2 linked regions of the Saccharomyces cerevisiae S288C genome follow. The protein of the gene in region 2 interacts with the protein of the main gene of each other region in a pairwise test. Each region holds a gene or a part of one and is shown on either strand. Other genes may lie near its edges.

Region 1 (3,847 bases), on a different chromosome or scaffold from region 2:
GAAAATGTAGCATCTGCAAAGGCAAAAATATCCGACAAGGAAAATAAAGCATTTCTGTGAAGATACAAAAAATATAGTTGATGGTTCACTGGCCAAAAATGTATAAAAGAAAAATTTATCTGTAAATAGTGATCGAAATAAAATAAGATAATAACTAAAGAATATATATGACTTTACTGTACAGATCTATAATTGAAAAATGACGAGAGGTCCTGTGAAAGAGTCTGCCTGTTCGCCATCTTCACACATTCAACCAATTCCCTGGTGCGCTTGGTTACTTCCATCAGGATATCTGCTAATTTTTGATAGAATCGTTTCTTCCCAAGCTTTGTGGAATCGCATCCATAAGTACACAATTCCGATAACTTTTGCGAGCAATCTGTGAGCCTTTCAATAATTTCTTTACAGTGCTCGCCTAAATCCAGTTTAAAACTTTTTTGGACCATTGCTTTGGTAGTCATATCAATCACCGATTCCAAAATAGGAATAATCTCGATGGAATTTTGACATAATCTCGAAACTGATCTTGCGGACTTGAACAATTTTGATTTAGAGGCTTGAACATCATTCAAAATGCCCTGCCTGCCATAGGAAGAACAACCATTGATTTACTCTCAACAAATTCGACGAGGTTATTTATGTTAGCGTTGTGCGTGGTTGAGTTGACATCAGAATTATTCAAGTTTTCTTCTGAAGTAGATATTCTTAATCCAAGACCAGAGTTGGGAGCAAATTTCTGCACTTTCTCTCTGAATTTCCTCATTTTGGTCACGGTTGGCGAGTAAAGTACGTCTGCAGCTGGCGGAATATTTGCATACGGCTTCGCCGTTTCTGCCACTGGTTTAGTGATAACTTTCTTCGGAGGTGATGCCTGATAATCCTGCCGAAATTTACCAATTAGCGGCAATGTGTTACCTTGAGGACTTGGACTTCTCGAGTTCGAGACAACTTTCAGAGGCAAACCTTCTCGCGGAGATGGCTCACTCGTAATTCTTGAAGAATTCTTAGTGTTTTTTAACGGCGACACAGACGCTAAGTTTGTTTCTCCAGATGTATTATTTCGTACCTTCCCACTCTCTCGAATAGAAGATTCAGATTTTTCTATGATGGAAATTGATGGCGATGCTACAACCACTGGCATGTCCGATTTTTTTGTAATGGGCTTACCAGAGGATGGAAAACTAACAGCAGTACTACCGCTATCACCCAGAGATGATATATCCTTACCGTTTTTCTCATTTTTCACTTTTTCAATAATCTTCAACGGTTTCATACCTGCCTCGATATCACTGAGTTCTCCTTCATTGCGTGATATATCATCACGTGAGGTGGATTTGATCTTCACAATCTGAGCAATATTGCAGAACGCAAAAATCACTTCCGAAATAGATGATTGAGCTACAATTCGTGGTATTAGGTCCCCATATGTGAGAAAATATCTTGTTGAAGTGATAGCATGAGATAAAGCACTCTTTAAGTATACTATTTCGTTTTCTAAAGAACTTTGCAGTGAAACTGATGATAGGACAGGTAAGAGATCGCCTATCAACTTTGCTATCTTAATTATAGTCTCAAGCAGAATCGGCAGGCGTGTGGTGGTGGTATCCACAGGATCAATTCGATGGAGCGTGTTTTGAAAATAAAGTGTAAATTGAGTTTTTAATTCTCGGAAGACTTCAATGGATATAATACCATTCACGCTCATAAAATCATCGTTTATTTTGAAGGATTCAAATAATGTGTCATTTAAATAGAAATTTAGATCACCCTCGTCTAACCCATTGTTATGCGTCCCCATATCCAAATGATGTAAGTTTCTCCTTTCAATTTCCGTGAAAATATCAAGAATCAATTTATGGAACTTCGCGTCCTTCAATCGAGACAGTTTAGATTGTGCTTTACCTCTTTTCAGATCAAGATCATTTAGTGATGCATCCGCACCCGAATCTGTCAATCTTTTCATCAATTCATCGTTGACATCAGTCGTCAGTTGCCAAAATTGTACATTCGACAATTTTGTCAGGTCTTTATTTCTATTTTGGCGGTTTTGGTTCCTTCTTCTATCATCTTCTGGTACAGAGGCCTCTATAATTCTTTTGAAATTCTTATAATCCGATATAAGGTCTATGATTTGATCATTCGTTAATTCTGAGCTAATCATTCTTTTTATTTCGTTATGGCCACATTATGATATTCTTTTACTTTACTGTTTTAATTTTATATTCTGCGATTCAAATCATAACAGATATTTAGTTGAATAACTCTGTTTTTCTTCATTTCCATTTTTTTCTATTTACCCTTCTTCTTTTTATTTTACGCGTCTCGCGTTTTATATATTAATAGTAATAATATTTAATAGTGTATGTTTGAAATTTTTATATGTCTTTATTTCGCTAACGTAAAAATCCCTTCTTCTTTGTAGGGACGGGGGAGTGGTTAACATTGGGAGAAGCACTATTTATTGAAAGTTCTAGCTGTTTTTTCTTGTCCTCCAAAGCTTTTAATTGTTTAGTTAATTTTTCCTTCATTTCTTTATGTCTAGCAAACAATTCAGTTTCTGATTTTTGTAGTTTTTTCTCCTTTTCGGAAACTTTTTGTTGGAAAACTGTTTTCATTTCAATTTCTAGTTTGGCTAGTTTTGCCTCATGTAAAGTTTTTTCTTCTTGTTGTTTAGATATTGGATCGAACTCTTTGAAAACTGAATTATCTTGCTTAATACCAAGTTTTGCCAATTTAGAAGACCTGTAGTTTTCGTATAGTATCTTGCTTGTCCTTTCCTTTAATTCCTCCATGAATTGCTTGATCAATAAATTTTTCAAAAGGTTGAAATCAGAGTGGTTGTCATTGTCCACTTCGATCACCCCCCATGGATAGGAACGGCCTCTCACTTGATTACCACTGTAGTTCTCTACAATATCGTTGGAACCAATAACAGCATAAGGTAAACTACTAAATAGTCTTTCGGATAAATGGCTATTTTCTGCATCATCGTTGGAATAAATTGGAGGCTTGAACAGCTCGATATTAGATTGGATTAACTGGTTCATAATGGTCTTCTTGAAACTTAAGATCTCTTCATCAGTTAAGATGTCAGATTTAGCAATGACAGGAATCAAGTTACATTTTTCATATACAGATTGCATAAACTTCAGGTCCAGGGGCTTTAAGTAATGTCCTGTAGGTTCAATGAAATAAAGACATGCATGGATTCTTTTATCGTTTATTGAATGTCTGTTGATTTTGTTCTCCGCATCCAAGTATTGATCAAAACGAGAGTCAATCTCCTTAATGATCGGGTCCCATGATTTTTGATCATTATTTAAAAAATCACCAAATCCTTCAGTATCGATCACGTTCAAATTCAGTTTAACACCATTTTCTTCAATAACCGACTCATATGACTTAATTTTGACCTTGTGCCTTTGTTCTTGTGATTGGTTCTCGTGACCCTCGCCCTGACCCTCCTCTTCTTCCTGATCATTTGCAAGTTCCTCCTCGTAATCTTTCACTAAATTGGCCTCAATATCATCATTATTAAATAAAGTTTTCATTAAAGTTGTCTTACCAATACCATCAGGGCCGACACATAGGAGATTGAAACTGAATCCGTTCTTTATGGACCTTCTGTGCCATTGCTTGGGCAAATTAGCAAACCCTACATAACCATTGATTTGACGACGAATGAACTTAATCTCCGGTTGGTCAGGCAGAACTTGACCCTTTTCGCTCTGAGAGGAGGTGATGCCCATACCGAGGCCGGGTTCCACCTTTACATCGGATTCAGCTGCCTCAAATCTCTCGCTGTCGTCATTTTGCGTACCGTTCGTGTACTGCGAGTCCACTCCAT
Region 2 (3,896 bases):
ATATTTTCTACGTACAAAACGCTTATTGTATTTATAGCTCCAGTTACTGAAGTGGTAACTTAAGTAAGCAATAAGTATGTTAAAACCCTTTTATTTTTCTGAGTCGAGCAGATTTTTGTTCGACCGTTGTATATAGGATAATATGACGCCATATGATTTTTTCCTCTTTGGTAGGGAGGGAAGAAATTTTCCCCGCGCGGCTGAGTACAAAAGCGCCTAGTACTCACTTGAGTCATAATTTAGCACATCATAGCGTGCCTGCCAGAAAGACTTGGATGCGCATTTCTATTTGATGTAAGTAAGGAAATAGGAGAACTTTCATAGCCCATGGCTAGTTCGGTTTTCAGTAAACTATATACGTATATGTTAAGAATATTTCGGAGTGTCTAGATAATAAAAGAACATCGTTAAACTTATGAATGGTGAAGGAGGAGAAGTCTCGTTAAAGAATTCCTGTTGTAGAAAAAGTCAGTTCTGGTTACGAGAGGAAAATGTTGGAAGTTTATATCCCATCCTTTTCCTTTTCCCAGCATTTCTTTACAAACCGTTCCATGTTGACTTTTTTTTTCATTTGCCCTACAATCCAGGGATGCTTTAACATTTGCCTGGGAGAAGGCCTCTCTCTGGCATCTTTTTTTAAACAATAGTCGATAAAAGATCTAAATGTCTTGCTCCAGGATATGTCTAGTTCTGGCTCATCTTTCAACTGGGGAGAAAACGTCAGGATCATCGTCAATAATTCTATAGGAGCCACGTTTTGCGTTATTTTGTCAGATTCAAATGGAAATCTCCCTCCAGCAACCTCCAGAAGAGTTAATCCTAAGGACCATACATCACAGGTTACGCTGTATGGTTGGCCTTGTATTCGTTCTGGGGCCATATAAAATGACGTTCCAGTAAATGTCATCGCTAAAGAGTTAACAGCCTCCCCACTGACACCGAAATCGCATAATTTGATTTCCCCTTTTTCATTAAGAAGAATGTTTTGGGGTTTAATGTCCCTGTGGATGACTTTCCTTTCGTGTAAGTATGATAAACCTCTTAAGACAGATTCTGCTATCTTTCCTATCACCCTCTCACTTATTCTACCGCCACGTTTCAACAAATTTTTATACGTTGCCTCCAGTGATTTTCCTCCCATATATTCCATGGCAATGTATATTGAAGAACTCTGTTCGTCGGTAAACATACCATAGTACTGCACAATATAATCGGACTTAAAACTCTTATTAAATTGTAGCTCTCTGAATATTTGCTTTTGATATTCTGGGTCAGTATTCATAGTGTTGATTGTCTTCAACGCAAAAACCTTTTTTCCATTTTTTAATCGGCACTTGGCTACAGAACCACCCGCGCCTTCTCCTAGAATTCCTAGTGTAGTAATCTCATCCTTGAGATGCCCAAACCTCCATGCTTCTTCCTCTAACTGGTCTACGTCTTTTCCTTGTATTAAGTTGGAACAAGAAATTATGTTATTTGCACTTAAAGGGGCGGAGTTGCTCCCGCTACTGCTGAAGTCGTACGCAGAAAGAAGTGTCGAGGGGTATGAATCCTCGCCTTCTGGTGTGTCGAGATCTTTCTTGATAAAAGTGGTATCTATGTTGGATAACTTAGTGGAAATTGGAGCACTAGATAGTAGTTCCTTGTAAGTTATATCAACATGCAAATTAGAAAATCTTTCAGAAAGCTGACTATCGCCGGCAACTCTATATTCTATACCGTCTTTTTTTTGCGTTAGTACTAGGGGAGGTAATGGAGGTGGTACCGGTCTATTTTTAATAGTTGTAGTAGATGATCTATTGTACAACAAAGTGGAATTTGAAGCCATGGATGACGTAGTGGAAGTAGCTGAAGTGCTATTGTTGGAGTATGGGCTTTCGTTCACTGACGAGTACGGTGACCGGTTGAGATGTTGCCCATCATTAGTGGATTTCGCATTTTGAACTAAATTTACTGGAAGCGTTAATTTTGGAGTCTTTTGGTGACTCCTATTGGATTCTGGTGGTCTGAACATTGAAGCCATTATCCTGTGTATATAATTGGTATTTTGTAGATATGATAACAGTGCCTGCTATGCTAATCAGGTAATACTTGCTACTAGTAAAATGTCTAATTTTTTGAGCGAACGAATTTCATGCAAATTAGAAGGTAGCCAACATATAAATATATGAATATATATGTGCCTACGTGTTTGATGAGGTTTTCAGTAAAATTAAGCGGAAAGTATTGAGCTTTCCCAACTGATCCCTTTGATTTATTCTCTTTCTAATTCTTCAACTCTAAGGATAAAGTTTATTTCTTTTTGATTTTTTTTCGCATTGAGAAAGTGAACATAAACAAGGGTAAAATAGGCTCAATATCAGTTCACCTTTGAGAGTCTGGCAATAAGAGATGTGGTTCTAAGGTTACCTTATACATTCTAAACTCTGAAAACGCGTTTTCAAAGGTATGTACATTTCTCTATATTAAAGAGTAGATCCTTGCCGTTTATATATACATGTAGAGCAATTCTCAAGCTAATAATTAATGTTTACTTCAGACAATAAAACATTAAAAACAAATTTTTAGAAAAACAAAAGCTGAAGTAAAGACTAAATATTACACAATTTATTCATACATTTCCGCCCCAAACTCAAACAGCCTAAATAATATAAAAATTAACTTTTGGCAGCTCCAACCTCTCTACTGCCATCTAAAACTTTTCCAGTAAACGGCTTATATACAGTTAACAACCCGTCACTATCAACTGTAGCAACTAGATCCTCAATGTATTTGTGATAAGCAACGGTATTAACCTTATTATTTTCTCCTATTTCTCTTCTGCAGCCCTCAGTGTGATAAAATGCCATGCTTTCGGCCTCCAATTCGTCAGATATTATGCCTTGAAAGTCCTCATGTATCTCGTTATAAATGGCAAAAACAGGTTCGAAATTCCAGTGGTAAACATTACCTAACCCTCCAATTGTAACCACTTCCATAGGCGAAATGGAAGAAAACTCTATTTTGGACACTTGCTCGCTATAAAAGTGATGAACTTTGAATAGTTCATTGACTTTATTATGTCCTTGGTTGATATTTAACTCAGCATCAGCATCCCCTAAAGCGATAACTGCACGTATATCCCAAACCTTGAGAGCCCCACCACTAGTTCCCGTCATAAATAATGTATCAACAAACGGTGATGCAGCAAAACAAGTTGTTTTGCCGTCCAAAGAATCGTTTAGAATCCAAAGGGGCTTTTTGCCTATCTCATTACCCCAAAACCTTATGATACCGTCATCAGAACAAGTGGCGAATATTTGATTATTCAAAAACTTGATTTCTTGAATATTCTTTATGCCAGGAACAGGTATTGTACGAAGCACTTCTCCTATTTTACCTGAGTTGTCTATCAATTTTATTGTAGCGTTTTCATTATCAAGATGTTTTTCCTTAGTTACTGTTAAGGTTTTTGAATCGTTAGAAATTGCAAAATCAACACAGGGTTTATTTTGATTTCCGGACGATGCTGAACTTAGAGAAGTGGATGGCTCCATCATTGTGTAAACGGGCGATTTGACACCTTCTCTGAACCATGCCAAAGAACCATTGGTAGAAAGGGCTATCACCTTTACATTTATTTCGCTGTTATCCACGTAAATCATCTTTGCAATCGTTTCACCTTTAAATTCCCATTTTGGAATCAAAACAGTCTGCTCCACCTTTTGAGATTCCATGGTATAATCCGGTTGTACTAACGGTTCTGAAATGCTTTCAGGTTTTTTGTAATGAAGTCCGAGTGGCACTATACAATCCACCTCAAAGATTTCACTCCCTTGAGAATATAAAAGTGGTACGCTCAAAACACCTTTGGATTTATTACATGAGCTATCGTTAGTGAAAACTATACTCCTAAG

The links. Proteins that work in one complex are often made in the same cells at the same time.
Region 1: the proteins of MKK2 (region 2) and SPH1 interact in a two-hybrid assay, tested with the Saccharomyces cerevisiae proteins (one study listed by BioGRID).

The regions. Positions count from the first base shown.
Region 1 is NC_001144.5:760,182-764,028, forward strand, and holds SPH1 (Sph1p), read right to left. Parts: upstream 2,162-3,847; coding exon 569-2,161; downstream 1-568. Other genes in the region: mitochondrial 54S ribosomal protein mL57 MRPL15, read left to right, coding at 1-60; septin CDC3, read right to left, coding at 2,394-3,847. UniProt on the Saccharomyces cerevisiae protein: Polarity-determining protein which forms a conjugate with the ubiquitin-like modifier HUB1. Involved in bud site selection and cellular morphogenesis during conjugation. Required for pseudohyphal growth.
Region 2 is NC_001148.4:287,012-290,907, forward strand, and holds MKK2 (putative mitogen-activated protein kinase kinase MKK2), read right to left. Parts: upstream 2,024-3,896; coding exon 503-2,023; downstream 1-502. Other genes in the region: UME1 (Ume1p), read right to left, coding at 2,658-3,896. UniProt on the Saccharomyces cerevisiae protein: Serine/threonine protein kinase involved in a signal transduction pathway that plays a role in yeast cell morphogenesis and cell growth.